6 linked regions of the Rattus norvegicus genome follow. The protein of the gene in region 1 interacts with the protein of each later gene in a pairwise test. Links are inferred from orthologs where the notes say so. Each region holds a gene or a part of one and is shown in the gene's direction. Other genes may lie near its edges.

Region 1 (5,041 bases):
AGTGACCTATCCCACATGAGTGCTGAGGTGGGTCTTAACTGAAATTCTACTGTTTTACTAAGTTATATGCATTTTCTTTCTCCTCTTCTCACTCACCCCTACTTGCCCTGTTCTCCCAGGTCTTCCTCTGTCTTCTGTTCCTTCCTCTGTCCTTCTGTGCCTTGTGTTCCTTTTCCAGAAAATTCTGTCCATCTGTCCTATGTTGGACTTATTGTATGAATGTGTTTCTGTAGAAAATTTGTCTTTTAGGATGACAAACAGTCATTGATAGAGTGATGCAATGGATTTTTTATTAAATGCCATGACCAATAAGAGTGGAGAAGACTTACATTCATAAATACAATTTCTGCCCTCCCTTGGCATAGTCTGTTACTTAGTATAAAGTTGTATTAAGTTTCTTTTCATTTTTAAAAATCCCTAAATGAAACTCTACTATCTAAAGTAGTAATTTTAATCAGAACATCTGTATATATGTGTTGTTGTTGTGTACATGTATACATTTGGCTACATGTGTACAGATGTGTGGATGTATGTGAAAGCCAGGGGTCCACACTGAAGTCTTCCTCAGACACTTTCACCTTGTTTTTGAGACAAGGCCTCTCACACTCTCCACCTTATTGTTTAAGACAGGGTCTTTCATTGAACTTGTAACTCATCAATTCAGCTATGCTGGCTCCCCATGAGCTTGTGACTCAACACTGGTTTTACAGATGCTTGTGGATGTCCCCCCCTTTGCTCCGTGGGCACTGGGGACCCAAATGTGGGCTCTCGTGTCTGCCTGGCAGGTACTTTAGCAACTGAGCTATCTCCTAAGATCCTATTTAAAATGTTGTTTTGAAGTTATGCATTTTGGAGGTCTGCTTAGCTAGACTCGGATAACTTTTAGGTGATCCTTCAGAGATTATTTTGGTGTTAGAATGCAGTGAAAATAAAGGAAGTTGGCACATTCAGTGTGTTCTCCTTCCCGAGGAAATTGACAGGGCAGCATGATGATACTTTTTTTTTTTTTCCTACAGAGGAAAGAATTTAAATTACAGGAGAAGAATACCTAGAGATCAGAGATAAACACCTTTACTATTCTGATTTAGAGTAGTAAGCACTAAGACTGTCTTAGTTGTGGTTTATTTTAATTAATTAAGATTTAATTCTTTAAGTAATTAATTAATTAGTGAATTACAATTTGAGGCAGGGTCTTACTGTATAGCCTTGACCCACCTGGAGCTTGCTGTGCCAAGCCATGCTGGCCTCAAACTCACAGAGATCCACCTGCTTTAGCTCCTGAGTGCAGGGCTTAAAGGTGTGTCCTACATGCCTGAGTTGTAGTTTATTGTTTCTTTAACCTAATTCCACAGACTGAGTAATTTACAATAAAAAGAAGCTCCTTTCTCACAACTTTGGATTTTGGAGGTCAAAACTTAAGGCACCAGTGCGAGGCCAGACCATCTCATGGATCATCTTGTGGTAAAAGCAAGAGCACAAAGTTTGTGCTTATCCTTGTACAGGAGCCCACTCCACTCTTATCAGCTCAGTCTTGTATTCTACATGCAGAGTCCCTGATGCTTTGCACCTTTTAGTACTGTTAGACGACAGTGAAATTTAGATAAAGTCTGGAGAGGACATTCAAGTTACAGCAGCCTTGACAATAGATTTTCTCCGTTGGTCTTCCTGTGGTATGCAGGTGGTGACAGAGAAGTAAATATGCCACTAGGGACATCATGAGCCTGTTCAGAGAACTGAAGGACACACTTGTCTACAGGATGAAACTTGACTGGTGTTTTCCTTGTGTGCTCTTTCCAGAGTTTGTGAGAAGCTTCTATAATGGTCTGTTTGGCCTTCATCAGAGCTGCCCATGAGCACCTCTACCTGGTGAGGAAAGTCAGTCATGTCTGCAGATGTCATCAACATCGGGCTTGGGGCTCAAGGCCAGCTGCATCGCAGTTTGCTGTCCAAGGTGCTCCAGGCCGTGTGCTGGAGCTGCTTGGTAAATCCTACCCTCAAGATGACCACACTAACCTCACCCAGAAAGTCCTTTCCAAGGTGGGCAGGAACCTGCACAACCAGAAGTTCCACCCTCTGTGGCTGATTAAGGAGCGGGTGAAGGAGCACTTCTACCAGCAGTACATGGGGCGATCCAGGACACCTCTGTTCTCCGTCTATGACCAGCTTTCCCCAGTGGTCACCACCTGGCAGAACTTCGATAGCCTGCTAATCCCAGCTGACCACCCCAGCAGGAAGAAGGGGGACAACTATTACTTGAATCGGGGACACATGCTGAGAGCACACACATCAGCACATCAGTGGGACTTGCTGCATGCGGGGCTCAATGCCTTCCTCGTGGTAGGTGATGTGTATCGGCGTGACCAGATTGATTCCCAGCACTACCCAGTTTTCCACCAGCTGGAGGGCGTCCGACTCTTCTCCAAGCATGAGGTGAGTCTTTAGATGAGTCTCATTGATGAAGGGCATTTGTGTTGCTGTAATAAGACTGATTCTGAGCGAAACAAGGAGAGTGACCTTGGTCTTCATTTGCCTTAGTGACTGCTCTGTTTTTCATGTCTATGTGAACCTTGACCTCCCAGGCCACAGTGTATGTGAGGGATTTGTGCAAATGGTGGACTTTAAAACAAGGTTTTCTTTTTTACTTGTCTTTTCTTGTCCCCTTTTCTCTGTACTAACCTGCTTTATACTGGTTTACGTCTCATAGATGGATAGTAGTTCTAATTCAGCCTTAATCCAGGCTGAGCGAAGGCAGTGGTCTGACACCTGCACTCTGGGTATTCTGTTTGTATTAGTGGAACATAGTGCTGGCCGCCCGCAGCTGGAGAGCAGGGCTGAGGGTGACAAGCAGTGCATTGGGTTGGACCATCAGCTGCGTTCTTGTCCTGAGCTCCTCTTGCCTGGCATTGAGGAGGGAGGGGTCTTACTTGTTAGTGTTAATTGGGTTTGGATGCATATTGACCTTTTGGGTGGAAGTTTGATGTTTAGGCCATCCTCAGAAGTTTTCAACTTCATACATCTATGCCATGCTATCCTAGTATACTGGCTAATATTTACTTTTCACTGCAAAGTTTGAAAGCCCCACAAAGCTTGAGTCCACTTACTAAAAAATAATCATAACGAGTATGGCAGCTCCAGCCTGTAACTCATCACTTCCGAGGCAGAGGCAGGAATGAGGCTGCAAGGTCAGCGCTACCCTGGGCTACGTAGTGAGACCCTGTCTTAGAATAAAAAAAAAAAAAAAAAAGAAAAGAATAATTAAAATTGTAGCAATACTTTTCCTTCTTTCTGATATGTTAGAGACTGTTGCATCTTTTCTTGTAAGAAACAAGAATTTTAGTAAGTTCAAGTATCTCGTATGTCTGTAGCGACTCCTTCCAAACATTGTTCAAAGGAAAGGAGAGTTACTATGGTTACAAAACCCCATCTTGCAAACACAGCATAATGGGCTATTAATGTGAAAATAAATGCATAGGTTCCTTAGACTAAGACAAACAGTTTTTGTTCTAGTAAATAAGTTATTTAGCAGGAAACGACTGAAGGGTGCTATCCTCTCCTTTTCTTCCTATCTGCTTCAGAATAATGTTACTCTTTACATCTGTGACATTGTTACATAGGTAAGCCTTTCTCAAAATTGGTTCAGAGCTGCATCTGGGGAGTACAGTTGGCCATTCCTAGTCCTTGGGAAGCTCGTTATGTTCTAAGGTAGACGTGATAACTGTTAGAAAGGATATAGAAGTGGGGAACTATGAGGAACTTAAAGAGACAAGTCAGAGTCTAGAATATGACAAAGTAATAGAACACCACTTCCGGTTCACCTGTGAGAGGAGCAGTGGTAACAGCGATGTTAACAGTGTCTTAAAGCAATGAAGAACATGTTAATATGTGAGACTGCATGTCAATGTCATGGTAGAGAAGAGGCAGCGGTGGCTGAGTAACTCACAGTGACATTTTATTTTATTTTATTTTATTTTATTTTATTTTTTTGGAGCTGGGGACTGAATCCAGGGCCTTGCTAGGCAAGCGTTCTATCACTGAACTAAATCCCCAACCCCAACAGTGACATTTTAATGAGAGAAATTGAGGCTACAATAGGAAGTTAGCAATAAAAAGTACACATGGAAGTAATCCTGCCTTGGTGCATATTTGTTGTAATTCACTTCAGCTTTCCAGGCACCATGTGTAGCTCATTGTCTTAGTCAGGGTTTCTGTTCTTGTTTAAACATCACAAACAAGAAGCAAGTTGGGGAGGAAAGGGTTTATTCAGCTTACACTTTCCACATTGCCAAAGGAAGTCAGGACTGGAACTTCAGCAGGTCAGGAAGCAGGAGCTGATGCAGAGGTCATGGAGGGATGTTACTTACTGGATTGCTTCCCCTGGCTTGCTCAGCTTGCTCTCTTATAGAACCCAGGACCACCAGCCCAGGGACGGCACCACCCACAATGGGCTTGGGCCCTCCCCCTTTGACCACTAATTGATAAAATGCCTTACAGCTGGATCTCATGGAGGCATTTCCTCAACTGCGGCTCCTTTTCTCTGTGATAACTCTAGCTTGTGTCAAATTGACACACAAAAACAGCCAGTGTACTCACCTAGTCTGATGCTGTGACTGCTTTCAGATTCATTATTTAATAAATTGTGTACCTACAGATATATGAAAGTGTCTTCTTTTCATGTTGCAACGTGCTTCCATTTCAATGCTTCATTTATTCTTCTTAATTCAACCTTATAAGTTAGGTTATCCCACTTCAGCACGGAGACTTTGAGATCTGGAAAGGCCTAGCTACTTGCTCAGGATTGCAGGCCAATCAGTGTAGGACTTAGCTGGAGGACAGGTCTCCTGAGCCCAGTGCTTCACCTACTCTGTTCTGCTGATGACTGTGCTTGTCAGGTAAATTTGACACAGCAATTGTGAGCACTGCAGAAGGGTCTCTTCTGAAATCCTGTCTACTATTGAGTTTTGATTCTAAATCTTCTCTACTCTTAACCACAAAGAAAGTGTTATTAATTTTTAGTTTATTGCTCCACAAATAAGACCTAAAA
Region 2 (5,539 bases), on another chromosome or scaffold:
TGCTCAAAGGGTAGGCTAATGCCTAGTGATCATTATATATGTTTAATAATAACAAGAAAGCATATTGATAACAGAAATCTTTCCTCAAATGAATTTCTCCTAGGACTTGCCTACTGGAGCTCCACTGTAGATTTTAATCTAAGTCACACCCATCTCGGAAAGATCTCCTGCTAGTTTTTAGCTTCTCCTATGTTGGCTCCTGACAACACATGCCTTTTATCAAATCATTCAGGAGACAGATTCAGGTAGATTAATATGAGTCAGAAGCCAGCCTAGTCTACACAGTGAATTCCAAGTCAGCCAGAGTTATGTAGAGAAATCTGTCTCAAAAATGATAATAAGGAAATAAAAAGCAATCTAAGACACTCAACATTAATGTCTACTTTCCACATACATGCATATCCATGCATACACACACACACACACACACACACACACACACACATACACACGCACAGTGGACTTTTATTGATGCTGAAAGCAATTTTCTCTGTGTAATTTTTGAAAGTGAAATAAAAACCACAATTAAAATCAGACAACATGAAACTCCAGTTTATAGTTATAGTAGAGGTGAGATCCTAGAACCAATGTCCATCTAGTTCTGTACCAGAGGTTCTTAACTCAGTGAAACTGTTAGCTGAAACAGACATCACATAATCATATTCCCAACATCCAAATATTTTTCATTTTCATGAAATTGAGACTTTCCTAAATAAAAAAGAGGAGACAGACTCCATATTTTTTTAAAAGTAAGATTTTTGTGGCTTCCTTGGCTCTATTCCCAAGTATAATGGGTAAGGAGCTCCGTCACAGATTACAGCTAAACCCTCATTGCAATTTCTCTCTCTGCTCTCCTTAATATAGGTAAGGACTGGGACTATAGGTTGAGGTAAATCAATTATGTGCCATGAACAATACCTTATGATTGATCTCCAACTTCAAAGGAAGGAAGAAGGGAGGGAAGGACGGAAGGAAAAAGAAAGAAAGACTGCTTTTCAAAAACAGCATAACGCTTCTAAAATGTAAACATGAGAAAGCAAAGCTTGCGTGTCTGACTATCCACTCAGTGCACATCCAATCTCACCAACTAAGCAGGGTTAGGCATGCTTAGTGCTTGGCTACAGACCACAAATTCTAGATGACCAAAGATCGCAATTCAGATCTTGATAACCAATTCATAGTTTGACTCAATTATTCTCATCAGTCTATAAAATGAATGCACATAATTTGCACTCAGCATAGACCTTTTCCTGTACCATGTAAGCACATACTTCAAACTCACTAAAAAAAAGACACTTCAAGATTGAGATTGCTAACCGCCATTTTTACAGTGGTTGGTAGCACAAACAAATACAATTTAATAAGCTGTGATGTCCATTTGTAAAGTAGACAAGAGCAATCAATTTTCAAAATCAAACCCTGTTGGAATATTACTTTCTGTATCTCCAATGATCTCTACCTTTAATTACTGATGGCTCGATTTTTTTCTTTGGTTCCTTATTCATTCAAAAAGGTAGTGCTTCCTATGGCCGTTTGCTGAAATAAGAATTTTTATCCAAGCAGCATGTGGAAATGGCGTTAGTCCTGATTTAGTAACCTGAAGTTATCCTCCTTTTACGAGGCATACAACTTCCTCCGTAAATAATCAACACTAATGAGATGTTTGTAGGAAAGCTGGCATCTGCAAGGCTAGAGAAAACATCGGTGTGTCCTGTAAACACTCATTTGAAGGGAGATATAAAAGTCTCAGGAAGCCAAAAGTCCTAGACCTTTGGGAGACTAGGCGAGACCTAAGCAATACACCATTCAATCTGTTCATTCCTTCTCAGAAGATGGCTTCCGAAGGCTCCCCTGACTGCTGCTCTTCTGAGCCCTATGCAGGGGCATCGAGCTGCACAACTGCCTCATTCTGCCCCACCAGCACAACTTACCTTCCCAGCACCTGCGCCACATCCAGATGTCAAACCCCGAGCTTCCTCTGCAGGGCTCACCTCCCGGCCGGTTGCCTCTCACCGTGCTACTTGACTGGCGGTTGTAACAGTCCTTGCCTGGTGGGGAACTGTGCATGGTGTGAAGAAGGGACGTTCAACAGTAATGAGAAGGAGACCATGCAGTTCCTGAATGACAGATTGGCCAGCTACCTAGAGCGGGTGAGAAGCCTGGAAGAGAACAATGCAGAGCTGGAGTGCAGGATCCGAGAGCAATGTGAGCCCGATGCCACACCGGTCTGCCCGGATTATCAGCGGTACTTTGACACCATTGAAGAGCTACAACAAAAGGTTGGGTGTCTCACTGCCCTAATGTTTCCCAATGTTCTCTGTTTTCCAATTCTGTTTTCTCTCATAGCTGTACTAGGGCAGGTTGCTTTGTGGATGTAAAACAAAGGAAAGGGGGATTCCCAGAGTTAGTTCAAATAATCAATCTCATTCTCAGAGAATTATTGGGTGACTATAGAAATGTCACCTTGCTGTAGACTTTGTCTACACTGTGAAGGAAATTGAGTTATGACGTCTTCTAAACCCCATTCTTCATGTATCATTGCGTGTTTATATTCTTTATCAAACAGATATTGAATGCCATCCATTTGAGTTCTGGAAATCGTTCTCTATTTGTGTGTATGTGTGCAAAATGTGGGGTTGGTGGGCGACGTGATATATGATCGTGTGGGGAGGGAACACATGCCTGAGTGTGGGTAAGGAGGTCTGGGGTCCATGGCAAGTACCTTGCGTTCCTCGCCTTGTTTTTGAGACAGAGTCTCTTCTTGAAACTGGAACTCACTGATTTAGCTGCAGTCCCTGAGGCCTGGCCAGGGAGCCCCAGGGATCTTACTGTTTCCACCTCCTTAGTACCAGGGGTTAACCGACACTGAGTATTATACTTACCTTTTTCACATGAGCTCTGTGAGATTGAACCCAGATCTTCCTACTCGTGTTTCAAACCCTTGACCAACAAAGCCACTTCTCCTTTTTTAATTGATGGATTTCTGTGACCACAGAGATGCAATTCTAACAAACACTAGCAGTGTGGGAAACTTCAACAAAGCTCAAAAGCCAGTGATGGTGACAAAATGCCCTGCATCACTGATAAAGGAAACCTTGAACCCCAGAGACGGCTCAGCAGTGATTAACAACATTGTACTGCTCATGAGCACCTGAGTTCAGTTCCTACCATCCAAGTGTGGCAGCTCACAAGCACCTAAAACTTCTCACCTTCTTCTCACTGCACAAGGCTACACTCTTACCAACATACAGACACACTCAAATGTGTACACTCTCATGTGCATACACATACTCTTAAATATACACGCTCACCTGCACATACACACACACACACACACACACACACACACACACACACACCTACACATACTAAGAAAGAAAAGGTGAAATCCTTCATTTTAGGAAGGGAAGGTCTTTTGCTTCTGTATTTTGTTTCTCAATTGGCACTGAATGTTTTTTTATTCTGTGAAGTGGCACAGTTAATAGGAATCATGGGTTGGAAGAGACATTATGTTAACTTGGAAAGACTTTCATAAACTAATGAGTGGCAAGGCTGTTAAAATAGATATGTGGATTTCTTCTAAAGAGCTCCTCACTAAATGATGACTTACCTCTTAGATATTGTGCACGAAGGCAGAGAATTCTAGACTTGCCGTGCAGGTGGACAACTGCAAACTGGCTGCCGATGATTTTAGGTCAAAGTAAGTCAAATTATGTTTATTTTGTTAAGCCACAGTGTGCTTTGTGTATGCAATTTACACGTTAAATTTTAAATTTAATTATAAAATAATAATTAACAATAATTAATGTCTTCCAGTAAGAGAGAAAATATTTTCTGCATAATATATATTTTTAACTGAGAATGTTTGAACCCTGAACTCACCTTCATTTGGAATGTAAGGAAAATTGAGGCGTGTGACTCTCTGGAGGCCATGTGTCATCCAACCCTGCATCCCAGTACTCTGAGCCAATTAAGCCACTTCCCTCCCTTTCTCCTACTCTGAAAGGTATGAGAGCGAACTGTCCCTGCGCCAGCTGGTAGAGAATGACATCAGTGGTCTTCGTGGGATCCTGGGTGAACTGACCCTGTGCAAGTCAGATCTGGAGGCCCATGTGGAGTCTCTGAAAGATGATCTACTTTGCCTTAAGAAAGACCATGAAGAGGTGAGTGGAGTGGCCGCTGGGCCAAAGACTATAGGAGGAGTTCTGTTGAGAAATCTCATGTGTATAAATTGAACAGGGACAGACACTGCCTATACTGGAACAAAACTAGAGACATTCTCACTGTGTAGCATGATTGCCCCAGTGTCTCTCAAGGTAGATGTGATGTACAGCATGCATCATTAACATAACCCTCATCAGTGGCACGGAGGTGAGGTCACTCTTTTTCCTGCCATTGCTTGGGTTGAGAAGTAACTCAACTCATGGTTTTTTCCATAGCTCTATTGTATAACAAGGAAATTGAGCTGATAAAACTGACTGTGTATCCCCTTCCAAAAAAGGGATAAACAATCACACAATACTTGGAATCATGTTTGTAGGTATTGTGTGTTTATAATTTGATTCTGTCATAAGCTATTAAAATGAGAAGCAGATTGATGTAACAAAGAAAAAATTTACTCTTTGAATATTTTGATGGTAACAATAGCTGGCAAGTGTGGATACCTTAGCTGGTAACAATAGTTGGCAATTATGGATACCTGAGCGTGTGTCATTAATTTTATAGATTTACTGTGTGTGTAGTAGTGTGTAGTAACTCTTCCCTGTCTCACAATAATCCTCTGGGAAAGGGTACAAAATTACACCTGTTTTGCAGACAAATAGCTGAAACATTTGGACCTAATAGAAAGAGTATAAGGGAAAATGACTCAGCAATTAAGAGTGCTGTTTGCTCTTCCAGAGGACCCAAGTTCAGCTTCCTGTACCCATGTCAGGGAGCTCACAACTGCCCATAACCCCAGCTCCATGTGGCATACAGACACACATAAATGTAAATTTTAAAAATCTTTCTTAAACAGAAGTAAACCCCACTCTGACATTCCTTACTCCATTTCCATTCTCAGGAGGTCAACTTGCTTCGTGAGCAGCTTGGAGATCGACTCAATGTGGAGCTGGACACTGCCCCCACTGTGGACCTCAACAAGGTCCTGGATGAGATGCGGTGTCAATATGAGAGGGTGCTGGCCAACAACCGCAGGGATGCGGAGGAGTGGTTCGCTGCTCAGGTCAGTGCCCTTGGGAAAGGGAAGACTTCGGGGAGGATGCCTTGCCTGAGCTCTCTAACAGGGCCTTTGTTTCAGACAGAAGAGCTGAACCAGCAGCAGATGTCCAGTGCAGAGCAGCTGCAGGGCTGCCAGACTGAGATGCTGGAGTTGAAGCGTACAGCCAACACTCTGGAAATTGAGCTCCAGGCACAGCAAACCCTGGTGCGTGGGATGAACAGTGCTAACCTTTGTCAGCAGCATCCCAGAGATGCTATGCTCTTTGACAGAAGTCCAGGGAGACACTCACAGTTCAGCCAATTAACCTAGCTGGCTTTT
Region 3 (3,868 bases), on another chromosome or scaffold:
TGGTGCCCAGGGGTGTTTGTGAACTAAAACATACATAGCACAGCTTGGAATGAGGTTAGGGAAGGGTTTGTCTCTGCCTTCCACCCCTGTCTCCTATGCTTGGGAGAAAATTAAGTTAAAGTGTATTACTTGTGGTGATCTAGCAAAGCTCTACCACAGAGAAGCCATATTTTTAGGAATGCCCTTGATCACCACCGACAGAGTTTAGCAAGGATTTCCAAGTAGTTTAAGTGAATAGTGGTCTTTGTTTGTTTGTTTGTTTTTAACTGCCTGTCACACACTGAAAGAAGTGTGAAGGCAGCCAACTCAAGACTAGTATAGCAGCTGTGAGATCTCTTGAAAGCTTGGAGCTCTGTCTTTGTGCATCAGTTCACCCACAAGGCCAGAAGATGGCCAGTGCAACCTCTGATGTCATATTTCCCTTCAAAGTAGGAAGAAGAGAAAACGTTGGTAAGCCTTTAATCAAGGAAACAGGAGCTTAATCAGAATTTTCTTCCACTCTGCTTGACTTCAGTTTCCTTTTTATTAGTCATCCCAAGCATCGAGGGAGGCTGGCAGAGTGAGAGAGAGAGAGAGAGAAGAAGTAAGGAATGGATGCTGTATAAACACACAGTGTCTATCACAGAGGCATACTGTACACTAAACCTCTTTCAATACCCAGCACTTGGGGTCACAGGACAGTGTTTTTGTCATATGGTTATAAAGGTCTCTGTAGTAAAGCACATGCTATCTTTCATCATTGATGATGGAGCAGCCACTCAAACAAAGTCGCCTAATTATATGCGCACTCCAGTTTCAAAGAAGCAAACATCTGTTGCTGAGTTGGTTTTATTTTTTTTTTTGTTTTTTGTTTTTGTTTCCTTTTTCTTTTGTGAGCAATTGCCTCATTAACACAAAGACTATCCTACCTCAAACATTGCAACACTCCTTTAAAAAATTTCCCTATATCCCAACCCACTCATGGAAGTAAGACATTCTTTTACTTTTTTTAGGCTAACCATTTAAACTAGGTCCCAAAATGACTCAGAAGAAGGTGCAGACCTCCAATGATGGATTGATGGAGGATGGGCGCTCTCTGCAGCTCTCACATTTGAGGATGTGAGACTTGGAGTGGTCCCTTTTAATATCATAATATATGATGGGAACACTTTCTCCTCCGTGCTTGGAATATGACTTCCAGCAAAATGAGATACCCACGTTTTTTCACAGAGGGAAAATAATGCATGAAGGTTATCTTTTGGGAGGATGACTTCTCTTCTTAGTTGCCAGTTGACACTCTTGCCTGCTTTCCTAATATAGTTCAAAGTGCAGCCAACCTACATCATCATATTGGGGGTCCCCTGCTAATGATGGTCCTGGAGGGGAAAGACACAGTTCGTAAATGTTTCATCATAGTTTCCCTTCCCTTCTTCTTTTACTTTTTTTTTCTTTCAGGCCAACCATTTAAACTAGATCCCAAAATGACTCACAAGAAGTTGAAGATCTCCAATGATGGATTGCAGATGGAGAAGGACGAGAGCTCTCTGAAGAAGAGCCACACTCCGGAGAGATTTAGTGGCACGGGGTGTTATGGGGCAGCAGGAAATATATTCATTGACAGTGGCTGCCACTACTGGGAGGTGGTCATGGGTTCTTCAACATGGTGAGTGGGATTTTTTTCTTTCTTTCTCTCATCTTCTCTGCTTTTAGGTTCTTAGGAGATTCAGTTGTAGAGCACAACTAAGATACTAAAAAGTCACGGTTAAGAGATCTTTGATAAGGGCTGGAGAGATGGCTCAGCGGTTAAGAGCACCCAACTACTCTTCCAGAGGTCTTGAGTTCAATTCCCAGCAACCACATGGTGGCTCACAACCATCTGTAAAGAGATCCGATGCCCTCTTCTGGTGTATCTGAAGACAGCTACAGTGTACTTATATATAAATGAATAAATAAAAAAAGAGATCTTTGATAAGAATTAGTCCTAGAAAGTCTTGCCAGTTTTTAAAAGATAAAATTTTGGAAAATCTACTGGGCTAGGAGATAGGAAATTCTGTATCACTCTAATTACTGGCTTTACAAACTCCGATTACATTAGCATTCTGTATGCAAGTATAAATGTTTTAAGGAAGGAGCATGTAGTGAGTCACTCCTAGACCCTAAGCAATGTCTAGCACACCTCCAATCGTTCATAAATGTTTTTCTGGCTTCTCCACTGTCTCAGGTATGCAATCGGTATTGCCTACAAATCAGCTCCAAAGAACGAGTGGATTGGCAAGAATGCCTCTTCCTGGGTCTTCTCTCGATGCAACAGTCACTTCGTGGTGCGACATAACAACAAGGAAATGCTGGTGGATGTGCCCCCACAGTTGAAGCGTCTAGGCGTCCTCTTGGATTATGACAACAACATGCTGTCTTTCTATGACCCAGCTAACTCTCTCCATCTTCATACTTTTGATGTTACCTTCATTCTTCCAGTTTGTCCAACATTCACAATCTGGAACAAATCCCTAATGATCCTGTCTGGCTTGCCTGCCCCAGATTTTATTGATTATCCTGAGCGGCAGGAATGCAACTGCAGGCCTCAAGAATCCCCGTATGTGTCGGGGATGAAAGCTTGTCATTAAGTGTCAAGAGAGCATGTAAGTCGCTGGCTCTCCGGTTCAGCACTTCTGCCCTTCTCAAGCCTCCATTAGTGCTCCATATATGAGATACAAACTAAAGTTCGTTGGGAGCACCCAAAATAACTAGATATTGTAGACTTAATTTTTGTGCATTGAAACTTATGTTTGAATTCATGTATTGAGTTACTCAGAACAAATTAATCTGAATGGTCTGGGTTCATGCCACCAGGGAAGAATTTTAGAGAATATCTCTGGCGTCATTGGAAAATTTAAAATTCCCAGTGATTTGGGAGTATAAATGATACTGTTAGGAATTAGCCTTTCTAGCAATGGCTAGTGTGGCCAGGTAGAATTTGCACAGTGTCAAATTATCACTTATTGTATGTCACTTTTTAATAAACTAATGATTGAGGTGTTTTGGGAACATCATACATGTGCATATATAATATATAAAATGGCTGAATTCGTTTTATGAGCAAAATGACAGATAATTTTATCTATTACATATACACAATAAACCTTAATTTGTGCATTTATATAAGAAATATATGGAAAAGGAAAATAAATCATAGTGTCCACTCCTAACCCCTAGGTGAAACATCACGGTTAGCCAGCATTTCTCTCTCCTTCCCTTCAAGCCTTTCTTACCTCCCTCTTGTCTCACATGCACACACATGCAATCGAGACACAGGAAGTGAGAAGAGCTCTTGGTTAGATGAGGAGAGATCTGGGGATATGATTGTACAGGAGATGCTAATGCTACATAGAAAATCGATTCTGGTAGAAGGGTCTTGTGTAGCATAATTTCGTTGATATTAATGGAGGAGATTCATTTGAATTGTTAAAAATGTCATAGAATATTTCAAAGAAATATAGTTTTGTTATTCTCAAATACAAAGTTACTAGAGTTAGGCTTAAGAATAGAGTTACATAATGGACTTTCTTCAGAACTCGCCTTACTTGAGCAGTAAGAATGGAGTGTTACAGGTTCAATACCTATATGCATACAAATGTACTTATCTTTTCAGACGAAGCACTCCCGAAATGCTGTTTTCCTCAAGAGGTTCAATACTCATTAGTTTTGGAATTTTGTTTATACTCTTCATTCCCTTGCATTCCCTCCGTGACAAATAAAAACATAAATTCCATCCTACTTTTCATCACAGAAATTGAGCTTCACAGTCTGTGATTTCACCAGTTCTGTTTGCAGAGATTAATTAGAAATGCCAGAGAAATAGAGCCTTCTTCCAGGAGTCAAATCTACTCCT
Region 4 (5,604 bases), on another chromosome or scaffold:
AGTCATGGGGAAGGGATGAGACTCCGAGGAGCTCCCTCCCCCTTTAGCTACATCAGGACAGGGTTAGCCTTTCCACAGTGTGAGGACAAGTAAGGTGTGGTTTACCAAGTGGCAAGCAACTGCCTTCTAGGACAGACATCCACAAATGCCTTGGAATTTAACTCATCAAAAACTGAAAAGGGGTCAACCACGGTGGTGCGAGCCCACAATCGCAGCCCTAGAGAGGCTGAGGTATTGGTTGGTACCAAGAGTTCAAGGTCAGTTTTAGTTATTTGGTCTCAACGTTTTGAAAAGGAGCTGTGTGTCTAATTGCATCACCTAAGGCATCGGCTTCAATTTCAGGTCTCATGGTCCACGTCATTATCCGTCGGTACTACGGGGAAGTAGCAACTGTATCCCTGTACTTCTTAGATACACCCTTTAGAGGTTTATTATTGCATGACTGAAGCCACTTACTAAACGTTTCTTTGATCAAAATGACCGTTGAATTCTTTATCGCTTTATTCAATCTGAACTTGCCTACTTCTTTGACCTACTTACGAGAGTAACTTTCTTACCATTGTAACATATTTATACCACTGAAATAATCCCTGTATTGGTCATAGTGTTTGTTGTTGGATCCAATTTGATAGTATCTTATTTAAGATTAAAAAATATGTCATCTTGTCAGGCTGTGTTATCAGCGTGCTTCGTGAGATATTAAACAGTCAAATGCTCCATTTTAAAGGCAAAGGTTTGGGCCCATAGACTATGACATGGCACGCCAATTTCACAGTTTCTTTCTGACCTTCCACATCTAGTCCTAATTTCATTTTCTCTTCCCTTTAAGCCTGGCCTGTCATTACACTAAGTTCACAGACTGTTGGTGTTTAGCCTAGGCTGAACTTTCAGCCTCCAGACTGTGAGCTTACTCAAGACAAAGGATCATGCCTGCCTCTTCCAAAATGCCCTTTGTGGATCTCGGGACCCAGCTTGCAGTTACACTTTATTATCTGATCCACCTTTCTTAGTTATTCCCACATGGTCAAGAGGGAAAAGAGGCCCTGTGGAATGGAGAGATAGATTGAGTCACCTCTAACCGTATGACCCGAAGCAAATTATCCAAATCTCCATTGTCTTCCCCTAAACTGAGATCATGTACTATAAAAACTGATGTCAAAAAATTATATATATAAAAAAACAAAAAACTGATGTCAAGAAAATAAGTATTCTTTTAAGATTTCAACCGAAAAAAAATTAGTGCACAGTGTTTTGATATATGTATACACTGTGAAGGCAAAATCAAGTAGGAAGAAGGAGGGAGGGAGGCTATGGTGTTTGAGGCTAGCTTGGGCTATTACAGAGACCCTGTTCCAAAACCATGTCATTATCTATTCTCTTAGCAATTTCTAGTGTGCAGTGTTCATAAAGGTAGCCACTGTGTAGCTCAGCAGCTCTCTTTCTGAGCTTGCTCCTCCTAACTGAAATTTGATCACTAGCCCCACAGGCTCCCTTTCCCTAGTCCCAGTAACCACCTCTCTACTCGCGACTTGACTTTTTTCAGTGCTCCTTAAATAAGATCCGTAAGTACTTGTGCTGTGTGCCTACTTTGCTTAACATCCTCCAGGTTCATTCCATATCGTCCCAGGTGACAGAATATCCTTCATTTTTAAACTGGACTTCTCTCTGAGCCCTCAAACAACAGACAATGAGGTGGGCCTCCTGGATGGAGTTGGTAAGACTGGACTAGCGCGCGCAGAATGTAATTGTCCTCTTATTTCGCAGCAAGCAGGAAAACCATTGCTTTTGAATTAAGACCTAAAACTAGGTAGGTATAGGTTCCCCGAAATCTGAGCACTAAACTAGAAAGCTGGGTACTGCACAGGATCCCCAGAGTTGCTGGTCTGGGTAGAGGAGGGAGGAGGGGCGCAGCGCGCAGCCCCCTCCCTTCTCTTTGTCCTCCTCCCCTCCCCTGGTTTCTCTTCCCGCTCCCGCGGTCCCCTCCGCCCCGCACCGCTGAACTCGAGCTCAGCCTGCCGAGCCCGGCCACTTTAGGGGGAGGCGCCAAGTATCGGCTGTTCTTGGCCCTGGGCGAGCAGTCCCGGCTGCCCGGAGCGGAGAGGACGCGGCGCGGAGGTAAGCCTGCGTGTGGGCGGCAGGCGCGGGAGGGCCCTGGGGGCGAAGGCCAGGCGGAGGCCTCACCCTGCGCCCGGCCCGGTGCGCAGCCGCTGCGGGGGCAGGGCTCAGCGCCAACCCACCCGAGCCAGGGCCCGGCGCGCACGCGCGAGCTCGTGGGCGAGGTCCCTGCTGTGGTTCTGGGTTCACGTCCCTTCCTGGGCCCTGGGACGGCGTAGCGTTGCGCATGCGCGCAGGCCAAGCCTGGGGTCCGTTTTTGCGTCGCCCCGAGGCAACGGCTGTAGGGTTCCCGCTTCCAGCTTGGGGGCCCCTGCCCCCGGTGTCTCCATCCCTTCCAAGCACAAGGCGCGGGCTAGCGGCGCCGTTTCCAGGTCTTTCCGCTCTTTCCCGCCTGGAGCCGCTCGCTGACTCAATGGCCGCATACGCTTTAGGCCTTTGGTCCCCAAGTGGAGGGATGGCGGGAAAGGCCTGGCCTTCCTAAGATTTTCCTGTCCTTTGGGCTCAGCCTAGGCCGGAAGTGGAGGGGTTTAGAGGTGAAAAACTTTCCCAGTGCCCCTTCTTGGCGGAGATGGGACTTCCGCCTGAGTTGAAGATAGGTTTACAGCCGACCTTTTGCCTTTCTTTACAAGGTAAAGCTTTAGCTCGGACTGTAACAAAGGACACAAAGTTGCCCTGGCTGCCCGAACTAAGCTTGGCCACATCGGGCCACTTGGCGAGATTGTAGCGAAAGCCAGAGATTTAATAAATGTGGCCACGTTGGAAAAGGGAACAAAGAGAGGTTCGGTGACCCAGAACCGCTTAGAGGACTTAACTTGAAGTTTGGGTTTAAATAGTGAACGAGGAATACATGTGCAGAGTTGGCCTGTCCCAGGTGTAGTCCGGCCTGTCAATGACCCATCCTGTCCCAGCCACAGTTACAATTCCTTGGAGTCCAAAGCCTGACACCTGAAGGGAGAGGCAAACGTGTTTCCCTTTAGAATAGCTTCCATCCGGACAGAACGGTTTTGGCGACTTAATGTCTATTAAAGCGGAATAAAAGAGATCGGGTCCTGTGGAACTTGGTTCTTTAGTGCATTCGTGTGACAGTCACTGTTTAACGGTCATTGAGTCCGATCTATTTGCACCTTCCTAGTAAAGTCTGGTCACCTTACTGGGCAATGGCATCTAGGTAAGTCAGTTACCAGGGCTACTGTGGAGAGTGTCCTAACAATGCCTTTACCTCTGTGCTTTTTTAGTCACGGGGTTATGAGTTAAACCGAAAACTCCTGATACTTTCAACTCTTACCTAAACACTTTGAAGAGCAATGACATCTGTCACAGTGGCAGTACTGTAGGCCTCAGGACAGCATTGAAGTATTTCCTCCTGAAAGGACTTCTCATTCTTATATTCTGCAACCATGGATTCAACAAATCTTGAATTGGAAATATTAAGGAAGAACCTTTACTGAACATACAGAAGTTTGGGGAGGGGTATTATCATTAACAATAAAATATATCAACGTTTTAAAATTATTTTTTATTCTTATAAGACCTGTACGTCACTAGCTCAGACCGGCCTGAACAATGTATTAGGGAAGCCCAGGTTGGCCTGGAATTCAAGAGTCTCCTGCTTCAGCTTCTTCCGTACTGAGAGTGCAGGCACCAAGCCTGGAGAGATAGCAACCACTTGCACAGCATTTACATTGGGTATTACTTCCAGGGCTGGCTGAAAGTACACGGGGGGTGGTGGTGGGGTGGTGGGGGTGGCTGGCAGCTGGCTATGTGCACATTACAGTTTCTGTAAATGACTTGCATTCACAGAGTGTACTGTTGATATGGGGTTGGGTCCTGCAACACTCTGGCTTACTGTACCTTGCAGTTGCTTCTCAATGTCCCCTGACATTAAGTCATGAAGATGACTAGTGTGATGCCATGCCATGATTCCAGTGATTTCTTGAGGAGGTTTGTATGAGCCAGACAAACTTAGACAGCTTGGCTCTTGACCATAGAGGACATGGCTGGAGAGGGATATAAGGTGTGGTTCCCTTGAGGTCTTTCAGTAAAATGAAGTAAATCACAGACACTCCATGGTCAAGCATTAAGAGACGACTAGAGTATAGCTGCAGGGAACTCTTAATTCCCCTTTGTCCATTGGAGATCATCGTCATAATTAGTTTCTGTTTTAACAGATCTGAAGTGAAATTAAAATGCCTACTACGTATTGCTATTTTCAAAGTTTATTTGACATGATTACAAATCAAAATTGTTCAGGAAAGGGAGATGGGGAAAAGGGTTATCCGGATGGCAGAGAGGCATTAAAGCCTTTGTCCAGGGCTAAAAACAAGCAGGTCCTTGTGGGAATGGCCCCTAAGCACATCAGCCGCCCATCTGTAAAGGCCATTCATAATGTCTGTCATGGGATGCTAACATGATCCTTCTAGCTTTCCTTCTCTGGAAGGAATACGTGTCTCTTTCACGCGGTGACCTCATTCTGAAAACATGAACTGAAGGAAATTGAAAGTACAATGGATTATTAAACATCGACCTGACACTGAAGTGTGTGCTTTTAATATCTTCATTTTGCTAGTCTAACCTGAGCTAATATGCATTGTTCTCCCCACCCCCAATACATTTTTGGGCTACCAAGTGCTAGTGAATGATAGCTAAACGTCAGTGTTTTCTATATTGTGCCAAGTGTATACAAAAGGACGCCTAAGAGGAAACAAGTGGAGGTCAAGAGGATCCACTGTGTTCAAGAATTATGTTGTAGAGCCAAGGTCTTTAATAGGATAATGGTTACCACATCTGTTAATACCTATTTAAGCATTGGATGTATAAGAAATTAAATCTCAAATGGACTTACACATGGCTCTCTGTGTCAGCTCATGTCATTCATGTAGCAACATAAAACATTTTCCCACTTGAAGGTGATATTTTGTTATCAGCGTTGAGCTCAGTAATCTGGAGACTTCTTACAGCATTGCTGTAGGCTGAATTACCCCAAGCCTCACCTCGAAATTTGGAAACCAGTTACACAACAGCAGTTATATGTCACAGTGAGCGCACCCCTTTCCGTACACACTGGGTGGCACTTCCTTTGAGAGTGCACTGGCTTTCCCACTGCTCCTTCATAGTTCTGCCCACCTGGTTATACACCCCATTGCACCCAGCAGCTTGCTAGGTATAAAAGCATCTTGTTAAAAAAAACCCTATTGCCATTTACTTCTCCTGGCCTGATGTAATTGTCGTCTTGTCTGGTAAGCTAGGCCTAGTCCTGGAAGCTTCTAGCTCCATACAGTTTTATCTAGGCCTAGAATATTTTCAGCTTCTGAAACTCAATGCTGAATAAACTCTCCCTTCCTAGTTCTTTCTGACCCCTGGCTGGCTGATTCAGCTCAGCTGCTCTGGCTCAAACTCCCCTCAAAGCTGACTGATTCAGTCCGACTTCTCTCTTGGCCTCTGACTGAATTGTTCTGCTTGGCTTCATATGCTTAGCAATATGTTCTAATC
Region 5 (5,041 bases), on another chromosome or scaffold:
GAAACCCTGTTTCAAAAAACCAAAAAGAAAAAATTTCCACTTCTCTTTTTATTTATTCTCTCATACAATACATCCCTACTGTAGCCTTCCCTCCTCTTAACTCCCAGTTCTTCTGCCACTGCTCCTCTCTCCCAGACCCACCACCCCTCCACTTCCCTCCAGAGATGAGCAGGCACTTTTAATAGATTCTAGTTTCTTTGGAAGTTAGTGTTTTCCATCAGTTTATACATAGTCACAGAATCAAGGGAAAGTAGGCTCTGGGGGAAGTTTGAACATAGTGATCGTGTGGCAGAGAATTCTTACCTAGCTCTAGGATAGGTGTAGTCTTGCCAAGTACTACTGTACTGCTAACACTCATTTCTGTTTTCCAGATCATGATGCCGCAATTAATAGGTACAGCCGGTTGTCAAAAAAGAGAGAAAATGACAAGGTATGTTTATATACTCTTAAGAACATTTTATAAGTATTTTTAGTATGGATAGGTGTTTTGCCTGCATGTATATCTGTGTACTGTGTATATTTACCAGAAAAAGCAAGGAGAGAGAGTCAGATCCCTTGGACCTGGAGTTATAGATGATTGTGAGCCAACTTATGTAGGTGCTAGGATTGAACCTGGATCCCCTGGGAAAGCTGTGAGTGCTCTTAACTGCTGAGCCGTTACTGCTCTAGCCTACATGCACTCTGTCAATATCAAAGGTGACGACCATTTTATTAGGTTATTTAGTTTTTCCTATTGAAAAATAGAGCCAACAAACCATTGTCATGGTATTACTCTCATAATTTTTCCTAGATGTTCAAATCATTTCTGGTAATTGGTCTCTTTAAACAAAATGCTTCTCTTCTGCCAATAGTTGATAGTATAATTAAACATAACTATTTTAAAAGGATGACTGGTTCCCAATATATAAAACTGGTTTTTGTTTTGTATTTTGATGCTACAGTAAATACATACAGTGAAGTGAACAGGACAGGCTTATTGGAGGTTTAGGGAGGAAAGGGAGGACGAATGCTGCAATTATAATCTCAGATAGAAAAGGAGATAAAGTTCAGTTTTGTATTTAGTTGTATGGAAGTGTGAATATGAGTGTTTAAATAGGTATTCATGGTAACACTCTATGCTGGAAATTCATTAAAAATCTTGAATAAAACAAGTGAAAGTAAGTCACATACATATTTCAGTTAATGTCACACATGGAACTCAATGAAATTCTGGTATAAGGCTTTCTCTATTTAAAGGGAACGTTTATATCTTGATATTTTTTCAAAGAATGAAACCCAGAAGTACTACATAATATTTGAGGATGAATGCATTTAAAGATCAAAGAAGAGAATATTTACAAGTTCTGGGTGATTGAAGTCCTGAGTTACAGCTTATACCAATGCTTGCAAATGCGGTGACCTCTTCAGGACTTGGTATTTGCAGCCGTAGTCACAGCTGCTGGTAGAGACACAGTGACTACTTACGGAAGTGGACAGCTCAGTAGGATCTACTGTGTAGGAGCCGCTGTGGCAACAAAGGAAATGATTCTCACACAGTGAGTGATCACTCCTCTAAGCTGCTTTCCATTTCTTCTTTTTTTTTTAAAGAATTATTTATTTATTTAATGTCTATGAGTACACTGTAGCTGTCTTCAGACTCACCAGAAGAGGGCATCAGAACCCATTACAGATGGTTGTGAGCCACCATGTGGTTGCTAGGAATTGAACTCAGGACCTCTGGAAGAGCAGGCAGTGCTCTTTACCGCTGAGCCATCTCTCCAGCCCTGCTTTCCATTTCTAATTCTAGTTCCCAAGTTAACCAATAAACGTACACAATTTGAGATTTATAGTAGTCATTTTGCCTTAGAGAGGTACTTAAAGGTCTAGGTTATAAAATTTGGTATATTTATATTGCTTTTGGCTATTCCAAGTATTTTAAAAAGAATTAATGTTTTTTTGAATTAGAAAAATTACTGAGCATCTATTTATCAGGCAGTATGCTGAGTTCCTCAGGGAACAGTGTGAGTAGGGACCACTCCGGCTCTCCTATTCATTGCACGCTTAGTGTGAATGCGTTCCGGAGTACAAGGAGGAAGAGACTGCAGTGACATGACTTAGATGCACTAATAAAGATTTTTCTAGACAGTACAGATCGAGCCTGAGGAGGTTGCATGTGCAATGTAGTTAAGTAGACAACACTTTGGGGATTGAAAAGGACTTTTTGTTAAAAAAGCCCCAAACTGAACAGCAAAAATCCCCCAAACCAAAACGGTCTCTCTGTAGAGGCATGCTCTGGAGTTTGAACACTGTGAAGGTTTAGAGTACTGGCTATGGAGTGAGATTTGGGGGACGTATCTGAGGCCTGCTCTTCCTTTATTTGAAGCCATGCACTAGTTACTTGGTTCCATGCCTTTCTTCTCTGTGCAGAAGAGGGACCCACAGAGCAGCAGTCGTGATGGTGAAATTAGGCAGTGAATGCAGAGCAGCAGTTTTCACTGAGTTCTATCATTACTTGACAACAGGAGGTGATCACCTCTCAGTTCTCAGGATGGGTTTGGGGAGAGGTTGACAAAGTCGTTGGGGGCTGGGTGGTATGGCTCTCACCTGTGATCCTAGCTCTTGGGAGGCAAGGGATCCCTGAAACTTTGAGGCCACCCTGGAGTTCAAGGTTAACTTGGGTACAGAATGAGACACTATCTTAAAACAGACCAACAATCCCATTTGTCAAAACCTAACAAGGAATAGTTTGGAGCCAGATTGCTGCATTTACCACCTTGAAATTTTGTTAAAGGAAGTGAATAGTCAGGGAAGGATTCTAGGTAGGTAAATAGTGCCATGCAGTTAGTTATGTTGTATAACCAAAGCAATAATAACAGCATGAAAGGGAGAGTGCTAGAGTGATACCAGTGGGATATGAGACTTCCTTGCACAGTCACAAAGAAGATTGTTATAAAAGAATGCTTTGGAGACTTGTTCTTTATCTCTCACTAGGACCTTGTTAATGGTAGGCAAGCACTGAGACTCACTTCCTAGCCCTGCTTTGGAAGAGAGAAGTCCTATAGTAGGAGGTGAGATCCACATTGACATTTCCTAGAGAGAGGAAAGAACAATAAGGAAGGACAGCTGCTGTAAGGAAGAAGCTATTTTCAGTCTATGCATTCTCAGTGTACATAAACACTCATTCTTATATACAAAAGAACCCAGCCTTCCTTTCTCTGGCACTTGGGACAGGGACTGCCAGAGAGGAGGTACAGATTCACACCACCAGGCCAGTGTGCACTGATAATGTCGAAACTTGATAGGTATTCCAAGTAGAGAAGGAAAAGAGCCTACCTAATACATAGTAGGCTCTATAAATGCTCAAAGAAAAGTCGTTTGGGTGAAATAACTTGGGAGCATATGTATTTTAAGTGTGAGTCAAGAAAAATAAGCAGGTAGAGAAAAAGAGTGGTAAGGAGAAAACCAGGAGGGGAGAATTTGTGCTGTGAGCTGATTCAGATCAGACATCGCTGGCTAAATAGTAACCCATATGGTGACTCTGTCCTGTTAGTGCAGATGCCTACATTTATAGTTGCATGCAGATATGTGTTTTGTAAGTGATATGGTTGGTATACAGAAAAATGACTTGACCTGGTATGTTAATGGGTTTCCAATCGAGTAGAAAACAGGAAGGCTATGTTCAGTAATTATTGATTCTCCATTTTCCTTGAAAGACTCTTCTCCACTCTACTGGAGATAATTCAAAATTAAATAATATTTTATTCTTTTCATTCAAAGGTAAAGTATGAAGTAACAGAGGATGTGTATACTTCCAGGAAAAAGCAACACCAGACCATGATGCATTATTTTTGTGCACTAAATACTCTTCAGTACAAGAAGAAAATAGCTTTGTTAGAACCTCTGCTTGGATACATGCAGGCTCAGGTAAATATGTTTTGGATTATATCTGTCCTAAAAGCCTTGTATTAAGTTTGATTTTTGTATTAACTATAGGGCTATAATAAACTGTTGTCAACAGTTTTGTATTGTGGTTTTACTTTATTTTTTTTAAAGATTTATTTACTTATTTTATGTGAGTACACTGTCACTGTCTTTAGACACACCAGAAGAGAGAATTGGATCCATTACAGATGGTTATGAGCCACCATGTGGTTGCTGGGAATTGAACTCAGGACCTCTGGAAGAGCAGTCGGTGCTCTTAACCACTGCGCCATCCCTCCAGCCCCTGTATTGTGGTTTTAAAAAGTAATTTTAAAGACTGTCATGAGTGTCTTATTTTAAGAAGATTGGGCGAATGTTTTTTCTTGCAAATGAAGATATAAAATGTTTTAAATAAATGGAAGTACATTGTAGTAAGACTTTTCCCACCTCAGTTGGAGACAGAGAGCAGAAAGCTAGAGGAATTAATAACTGGAGCTTTTTTTCATTAGAAACCTGAGAAAGAATGAACAAGTTTGAATCGGACATGGTGGTGGACAGCTTTAATCCCAGCACTTGGGAGGCAGAGGATCTCTTGAATTCAAGGCCAGCCTGGTCTACAAAGAGAGTTAGTTCTAGAATAGCCAGGGCTACACAGAGAAACCATTTGGAAAAACAAACAAACAAACAAACAAACAAACAAACGGATAAAGAATGAGTAGGTTTGCATCTGTCCCATGTTCCTCACATACTTCCTGAGTCAGAAATAGTAGTTGAAGGGATGGAGAGATGTGTAAGAGCACCGATTGCTTTTCTAGAGGACCCACATTCAATTTCCAGTGTCTACATGGTGGGGGATCTGACCTCTAAGGGCATGTGTCACATACATGATGAACAGACATACACACATGCAAAACATCCATGTGCATAAAATATTCAAATGCCCAACAAAGTATACATTAGGAAAGAGGCTAGAAAATTGAGTTTTGGGGAATATATTAGTTCTTTAAAAACCAAGAAATTTGAATATCCTTTTAAGCATAAGAGTACCTTTTTTTTTTTTCTTTTTTTGTAAAAAACTAGTCATGGTAGTCTGAGGTTAGGGAAATATTTGAGGTCACCCTGGATTACAAGTGAGACTTAA
Region 6 (5,801 bases), on another chromosome or scaffold:
GTTATATAAATAAATATTCCCAGACTAAAGGGCCTGGGAGATGGCTATGTGGTTAAAGGCACTTGCCACACAAGCCTGCTGACATGGGTTTGTTCCCCAGGACCCATGCCAGATGCCAGATGTGGTCGTATGCATCTGTAATCCCAGCACCCCCACAGAGAGTGGGAGATAGAGACTAGAGGATCACCCAGATTCTAGCCCGGTGTGCTCAGAATGGCAGAAAGAAGGAGAGACCTTGGCTCAAAAATAAGTTGGTCCTCCTCTTACTTCCCTGTAGGGGCATGGCATGCAGACTTACATATCAACATAAACTAAATAAACATGACTAAGATATAAACATTCGAGGATGTGTTGCTGTCCATTTGTGGAAATACCTTGCCAATGTGTATAACGTTTATGTCAGTTAAATAAACTTTTATAACAAATCATAATCAGACCCATGTAAAGGCACGTGCCTCTGATCCCAGCCCTGAGGAGGATACAGCAGGGGCCCTCTCAAGTTCAGTGCCAGCCTGGACTATGCAGAATTATTCTGCCTAGAAACAAAAACAGAATAGTTGGTCCATTACAATGGTACACTTGTCATGGCTTTCCTTCTGGGTTGAGGGTTGTGCTTTAAAAGGGGTAGTAAACTAGGCCTCCGCCCACCCCAAACTCTCTTCCTCTACCTAGAAAGAAAACCCTATCTGGGGATCTGTGGTCTGGATGTCATCATGTGTCCACTCAGACGGTTTCATAGGTTCCCATGTGCCTTCTATTCTGGAGACCAGAACAAGTTGCAGTTGTGCCCTGAGAGGACTCACACCCAAGAGCCCGGGCAGGGCAGTTTCCTCCTCCTGAGAGCGCTCACAAGGGAGACTGTCTGCTAACTGTCCAGACCAAATGCTCTCCAGCTTTTGCTATGCTGAGCAAGTGGACGTCAAGTGGCTGGCTCCTGGTATATTGACAGTACAAAAGTTCGTGAGCAGGCTGGAGAGATGGCTCAATGGTTAAGAGTGCTGACTGCAACTTCCAGAGGTACTGAGTTCAAATCCCAGAAGCCTCATGGTGGCTCATAACCACCTGTAATGGGATCTGATGCCCTCTTCTGGTGTGTCTGAAGATGGCTACAGTGTACTCATTAAAATAAATGTATCTTAAAAAAAAAAGAAAGAAAGAAAAGAGCTTGTATGCATGGGCCGCTTACACAAGGCACAGCTCTGATCGCTTGGAACCTTACTTAGGCTATGATGATATTGTCCCTTGTCTGTGCTGTGGTAAATAGATGCTATAACACTGGGCCCTGACCCCCTCTCTTTTGGACAAGGTCTCGCTCGGTTGCCCAGGCTGGCTTTGAACTGCTGGGCTCCACAGTTGTCCGGCCTCTGCTTTCCTCATGATGGAGGCTGTTCAGTTGTCAGCTGGAAAGCCTTTTCCTTGACTTGGGGTCCTGTCTTCCTTTCCTTTCCCAGGCTTCAGGACCCTGGATGGAAGGAGAGAACCATCCACACTCTCACCTCCACACTCATAGTAGGACATGCATCCACCTAAACAGATAAAGAAGAAATAAACATGGTCTCATTTTATAAAGCCAAGCAGGCTTTGATCTCGTGGTATTGCCTTGCCTCGACTTCCCAAAGACTCCTATTTACAGGCTTGGCTCGATGTACCTCTTTTTTTTTTTAATTTTTTTTTTTTTTTGCTGTACCTCCTTTTTACCTTTCTTTCTTTCCTTCTTTTTTTAAATGAATTTTATGAAATTCTCTCGAAATCCAATAAGCTTGAAGCAAAACTTTAACACAGTAAGAACTAATCTTCAATTTCTTTTGTATTTATTTATCTTATGTATATAAATGTCTCACCCGCCTGTATGTGCGTGAGGCCGTGTGTCTGGCGCCTGCGGAGGACAAAAGAGTGTGGTCGGATCACATGTACATGTACACCGGGTGGGTGCTGGGGACTGAACCCAGGTCTTCTGAAAGAGTAACAAGTGCTCTTAATCACGGAATCACCTCTCCAGCCCTCGCTTTTTTCCTTTATGGACATAAATTAATTCACCGACCCTCACGAAGATGATGAGGTAGGAACTGTACTAATTCTTGTGCAAGGGAAGGAAGAGAGGAGAGAGGGTGTCCTGGGCAGACACCAACTGTTATCACACCAGCAGTTTCTGCCTGGTTGCCCCCAGGCTCTTATGGCTGCGGGAGGTCCCACCACCTCGCCCCGATCCCAAGTAGGCAGCCGGTTGAGCCCTAGTCTGTAGAAATCCCGTCCTTCTGCTTGAAGCACAGCAGCTGGTAGAGGCCTAGGCAGTAGCAGGAGCCTGAGCCTTGCAGCAAGGGCAAGCTGCTAGACGCCGTCTCCTAGCAACCGACTGCAGTCACGTGGCCGCGCGGATTGGCCTCACGCCGTTGGAACTGGCGCAACGCGACGGGCGGGGCCAGGAAGTTTGTTCCCGAGTTCGGAGCCCAGGAGTCCCCGTGGCCGTCGCTCAGGTGCCCTCCGCCGGGTCGGGATGGAGCTGCCTGCCGTGAACTTGAAGGTGGCCGCGCGGCCGGGTCGGGCGGGGGTCCAGGAACCTGGGGAACGGAGTCGGAGCCGAGGGGAAGGCGCAGAGCCCCGGGGAGGAGGCGGCGGACACCGAGAGGGACACCTGGGGACAGAGACGGACAGGGCCGCCCCTCCCGGATGGACCCAGGCTGGCACGGGTCCCGGACCGTCCGGGCCAGCGCTCCTGGTGTCCCCCACAGCAGGACAGGGACACCTCTCCTCCTGAGAGGTCAGTGCAGTCCGGGTGGACCCCTCTGGGTGCTGGCTGAAGTTAGGAGAAACTCGGTGTTCCCAAACAATTGCTTCTCCCTAATTTCCGCATGCAGCGTCTTTATTTCATAATTAAGAAGCAGGAACTGTAGAGGTTTCCTAAAAGCAAAAAACCCCAGAGGCTGTGCTGGGCTCCGGGTAGCAGGGCTGCCTACGATGTCTTCATTTCCTAAGTTCTTTTTCTCTCTCAGCCCTCCTCGTTTGCAACAGAGGTGCTGGCCACTTAGCTTTGGCAAGAGCGGTGTGAACCTGGAAGTAAACCGGCCATCTTGGTTTCTTGGCGCAAGTTTCTTGAAACCCTAAACCTTCTCTCAGGTGTTAAACCACTAAGCACCCTTTGGTGTCTGAGACGAAAGGGACAGAAGATATAGGTGGCATTGGAGCAGCTGAGTGATTGATTGCACGCGGGCTGGGCTGTGACTTGCTCTGGCCGGTTTCCCATTCCTAAGCTGCTGGCTAAGCAGCTGGAGGGAGATTGGAGTAAAGGAATGGGTTTGAGTGGATCCGTTTTCTAGGGACAGATTTATGGGCTACTGCAGGTCTGGGAGGCAGCCTTAGGGGTCAGGCTCTGCCTTATTCTGCTTGAGCCTACCCTCCAATAAGTATGAGGACAGCATGAGTCTCTATGGTAGAACATTTGAGTAGCCCACACCAGGACTGGGGTTCCATCCCAGTACCACACACTAACAAATAATACTAAAACAGAAGCAGGTGGGAAAAGAGCTGGTGTTTATGGGCTGATATGTCTTATTCATTTGAGTTAGGGTCTCGTGTGGTACTGGCTAGCCTCAAACTTATTATGCAGCTGAGGATGGCCTCAAACTTCTGGTCCTCCTGCCTCCACCTCTCCAGTGCCAGGATTGCACGGTACTGGCAATAAAACCCAGGGCTTCTTGCTGGATAAGGAAGCACTACCAACCAAGCCATATCCCCAGCCTGTGTTGCTTTTATTCATCTCAGTCCTACACTGAGAACACTGAAACTGCATTCTGTTGTTTTTGTTTGGGGGGGGGTCTTGCTATCTAGCTCTGGCTGGCCTAGAACTCGCTATATACATCAGGCTGTCTTTGAATTGACAAGAGATCCTCTCGATTTTGCCTCCCGAGAGTGCTGGGATTAAAGGCACGCAGCACCACGCCTAGCCAGAGGAGCTATGCTCTTTCATCGGAGTGCAAACTTCAGCTTAGATCATCCAAGTAATAGCAGGTGCAATCGGGATTCGAACCCCCGAAGACCTAGCTCCCGTGCTTTGCATTTCGTGGTTATCAGTTGCTTAGGGCTAACTTTTGGTTTTCGTCGGCCTACATCAACATTTAGAACCTGATAGGCACAGTGTATCCACCACAAATGTGAGCTAGCAGGCAATGCAAAGACCAGGCCCCTAGGACTTGATTGACAAGCTCTGTGGATCTTGGCAGGGGCCAGTCAGAAGCAGGTCAGCACCGGGGGGGTTGTGAAGTAGCAGGTAGGAAGGACTTTCAGTCACTTTTGGGCTTTGCGCTGATGACAGCGTTTTACTGTATGTCTCGGTATTGGGGACACGCTGAATTACTCACAAGCTGAAATTCAGAATGAGCCCGAGAGCTCTGTTGTGTTGCCTGCAAGATCTGCAAGAACCCCATGGAAGGCAGCTGGGACACCATGGCTGCCCGCCTCAGTCCACCCTCAGCCTTTTAAAAAGGATGCCCTGCTCTGCTCAGCACTTGGCCTGGGCTCTGTGAAAGAAGTGGGTCCCTGACTAGGCCTCACCTACCCATGCTTCTCTTTTTTTTTTGGTTCTTTTTTTCGGAGCTGGGGACCTGGGGACCGAACCCAGGGCCTTGCGCTTCCTAGGTAAGCGCTCTACCACTGAGCTAAATCCCCAGCCCTGTACCCATACTTCTCTTAAGCAGAAGCTTGTAGCAGCTCAGGTTGGAGGAGCCTTGTGAAGTCCTGGGAGGAGCAGTGGGGGCAGGGAGGAGGCAGCAATGAGGCCTGCTGTGTAGAGTGTCCTCCACACTGTCCTCCAGAGCCCAGGAGTCCCTGCTGTGCTGAAGAGCAGGTGGCAGTTTATGTCAGACTTGCCCAGGTTCGTGTGGGGAGCTAGGATCCATTCCATGGTTTGCCTCCAAAGTCTGTCAGATGACCAGGGCAGGACCTGCCTCTCTCCTGGGCTACCTGAGTAGCCCTTAAACTTAGCTGTCCTGGGGGCATCCTATCTTGTCTAATAGGTCACCAAATGTTTTCACAGGACACACTGGGATGTATTAAGTTGAGGTCAGGGACATCCCCAACCCCTCCTCCTTTGGGACTGGTAAACAAAGACTTGCTTTGTTTTCTCCTGGTAGGGTACCACATCCCAGGCAAGTTTTCTACCACCGAGCCATAGTCCATAGCCCGGAACAAAGGGTTAATTAATACTCAGGGCCCTTAGACTTCTGCTGACCCACCCTTTTCCAAGTTAAATTTCACTTCCCTCTGCCCTGCCTTTGACCTTAAAGATCCCGACTGGACAGAGTGCTGGTTTCGGGTGAGGTTTTAAGACCACAGAGTTAGTTATCTGTGTGACATTGAGGTTTCTTGACTTCTCCGCTGTGTCTTCTAGGGTGATGAGGGGCTTAAAAACCCAGACCAGATGTCGGGAAGTGGCAGTGTGTGAAGAGAGACAGGGATCTCTGTGAATTTGAAGCCAGCCTGGTCTAACAGAGGGAGTTCTAGGACAGTCGGGGCTGCACAGAGAAACTGTGTCTCAAAAGACTGAGACACGGGGGTTCGGGGGGGGGGCAAGAAAACAGCCCTCAGGCCAGGAAATGGGTTTACCTTTGCAAACCCCTGAAACAAAGCCAGCCAGCCAGAAAGCCCAGAACAGGGCGGTTGATCAATGTGCATCTGAGCTGTTGTTTGGCTTTCTGACTGGACCTGGTGTGCTGAGCCTCTGTTCTACTCCAGGTTGCCCTGGAGGCAGTGTAGGTAGAAGGTTCCGTGGAATAGGGCTTTGACAGAATTACTGCAGAGAATGAGGT

The links.
Region 2: the proteins of Fars2 (region 1) and Krt40 interact in binary tests that used the Homo sapiens proteins (3 or more experiments, as listed by UniProt). The two-hybrid records come from large-scale screens. The link is inferred for Rattus norvegicus from reciprocal best matches to the Homo sapiens genes FARS2 and KRT40.
Region 3: the proteins of Fars2 (region 1) and Mid2 interact in binary tests that used the Homo sapiens proteins (3 or more experiments, as listed by UniProt). The two-hybrid records come from large-scale screens. The link is inferred for Rattus norvegicus from reciprocal best matches to the Homo sapiens genes FARS2 and MID2.
Region 4: the proteins of Fars2 (region 1) and Rcbtb2 interact in binary tests that used the Homo sapiens proteins (3 or more experiments, as listed by UniProt). The two-hybrid records come from large-scale screens. The link is inferred for Rattus norvegicus from reciprocal best matches to the Homo sapiens genes FARS2 and RCBTB2.
Region 5: the proteins of Fars2 (region 1) and Appl1 interact in binary tests that used the Homo sapiens proteins (3 or more experiments, as listed by UniProt). The two-hybrid records come from large-scale screens. The link is inferred for Rattus norvegicus from reciprocal best matches to the Homo sapiens genes FARS2 and APPL1.
Region 6: the proteins of Fars2 (region 1) and Agtrap interact in binary tests that used the Homo sapiens proteins (3 or more experiments, as listed by UniProt). The two-hybrid records come from large-scale screens. The link is inferred for Rattus norvegicus from reciprocal best matches to the Homo sapiens genes FARS2 and AGTRAP.

The regions. Positions count from the first base shown.
Region 1 is NC_086035.1:28,870,657-28,875,697, reverse strand, and holds part of Fars2 (phenylalanine--tRNA ligase, mitochondrial), read left to right. Parts: intron 1-1,797; 5' UTR 1,798-1,818; coding exon 1,819-2,430; intron 2,431-5,041. UniProt on the Homo sapiens protein: Is responsible for the charging of tRNA(Phe) with phenylalanine in mitochondrial translation.
Region 2 is NC_086028.1:84,995,192-85,000,730, reverse strand, and holds the start of Krt40 (keratin, type I cytoskeletal 40), read left to right. Parts: upstream 1-1,832; coding exon 1,833-2,279; intron 2,280-3,617; coding exon 3,618-3,700; intron 3,701-4,006; coding exon 4,007-4,163; intron 4,164-5,062; coding exon 5,063-5,224; intron 5,225-5,299; coding exon 5,300-5,425; intron 5,426-5,539. UniProt on the Homo sapiens protein: May play a role in late hair differentiation.
Region 3 is NC_086039.1:109,239,112-109,242,979, forward strand, and holds the end of Mid2 (probable E3 ubiquitin-protein ligase MID2), read left to right. Parts: intron 1-1,434; coding exon 1,435-1,642; intron 1,643-2,200; coding exon 2,201-2,603; 3' UTR 2,604-2,862; downstream 2,863-3,868. UniProt on the Homo sapiens protein: E3 ubiquitin ligase that plays a role in microtubule stabilization. Mediates the 'Lys-48'-linked polyubiquitination of LRRK2 to drive its localization to microtubules and its proteasomal degradation in neurons.
Region 4 is NC_086033.1:54,731,898-54,737,501, forward strand, and holds the start of Rcbtb2 (RCC1 and BTB domain-containing protein 2), read left to right. Parts: upstream 1-2,087; 5' UTR 2,088-2,115; intron 2,116-2,766; exon of another isoform or gene 2,767-3,283; intron 3,284-4,307; exon of another isoform or gene 4,308-4,598; intron 4,599-5,604.
Region 5 is NC_086034.1:2,152,424-2,157,464, reverse strand, and holds part of Appl1 (DCC-interacting protein 13-alpha), read left to right. Parts: intron 1-371; coding exon 372-430; intron 431-3,756; coding exon 3,757-3,903; intron 3,904-5,041. UniProt on the Homo sapiens protein: Multifunctional adapter protein that binds to various membrane receptors, nuclear factors and signaling proteins to regulate many processes, such as cell proliferation, immune response, endosomal trafficking and cell metabolism.
Region 6 is NC_086023.1:163,798,827-163,804,627, reverse strand, and holds the start of Agtrap (type-1 angiotensin II receptor-associated protein), read left to right. Parts: upstream 1-2,453; 5' UTR 2,454-2,494; coding exon 2,495-2,521; intron 2,522-2,623; exon of another isoform or gene 2,624-2,758; intron 2,759-5,801. UniProt on the Homo sapiens protein: Appears to be a negative regulator of type-1 angiotensin II receptor-mediated signaling by regulating receptor internalization as well as mechanism of receptor desensitization such as phosphorylation.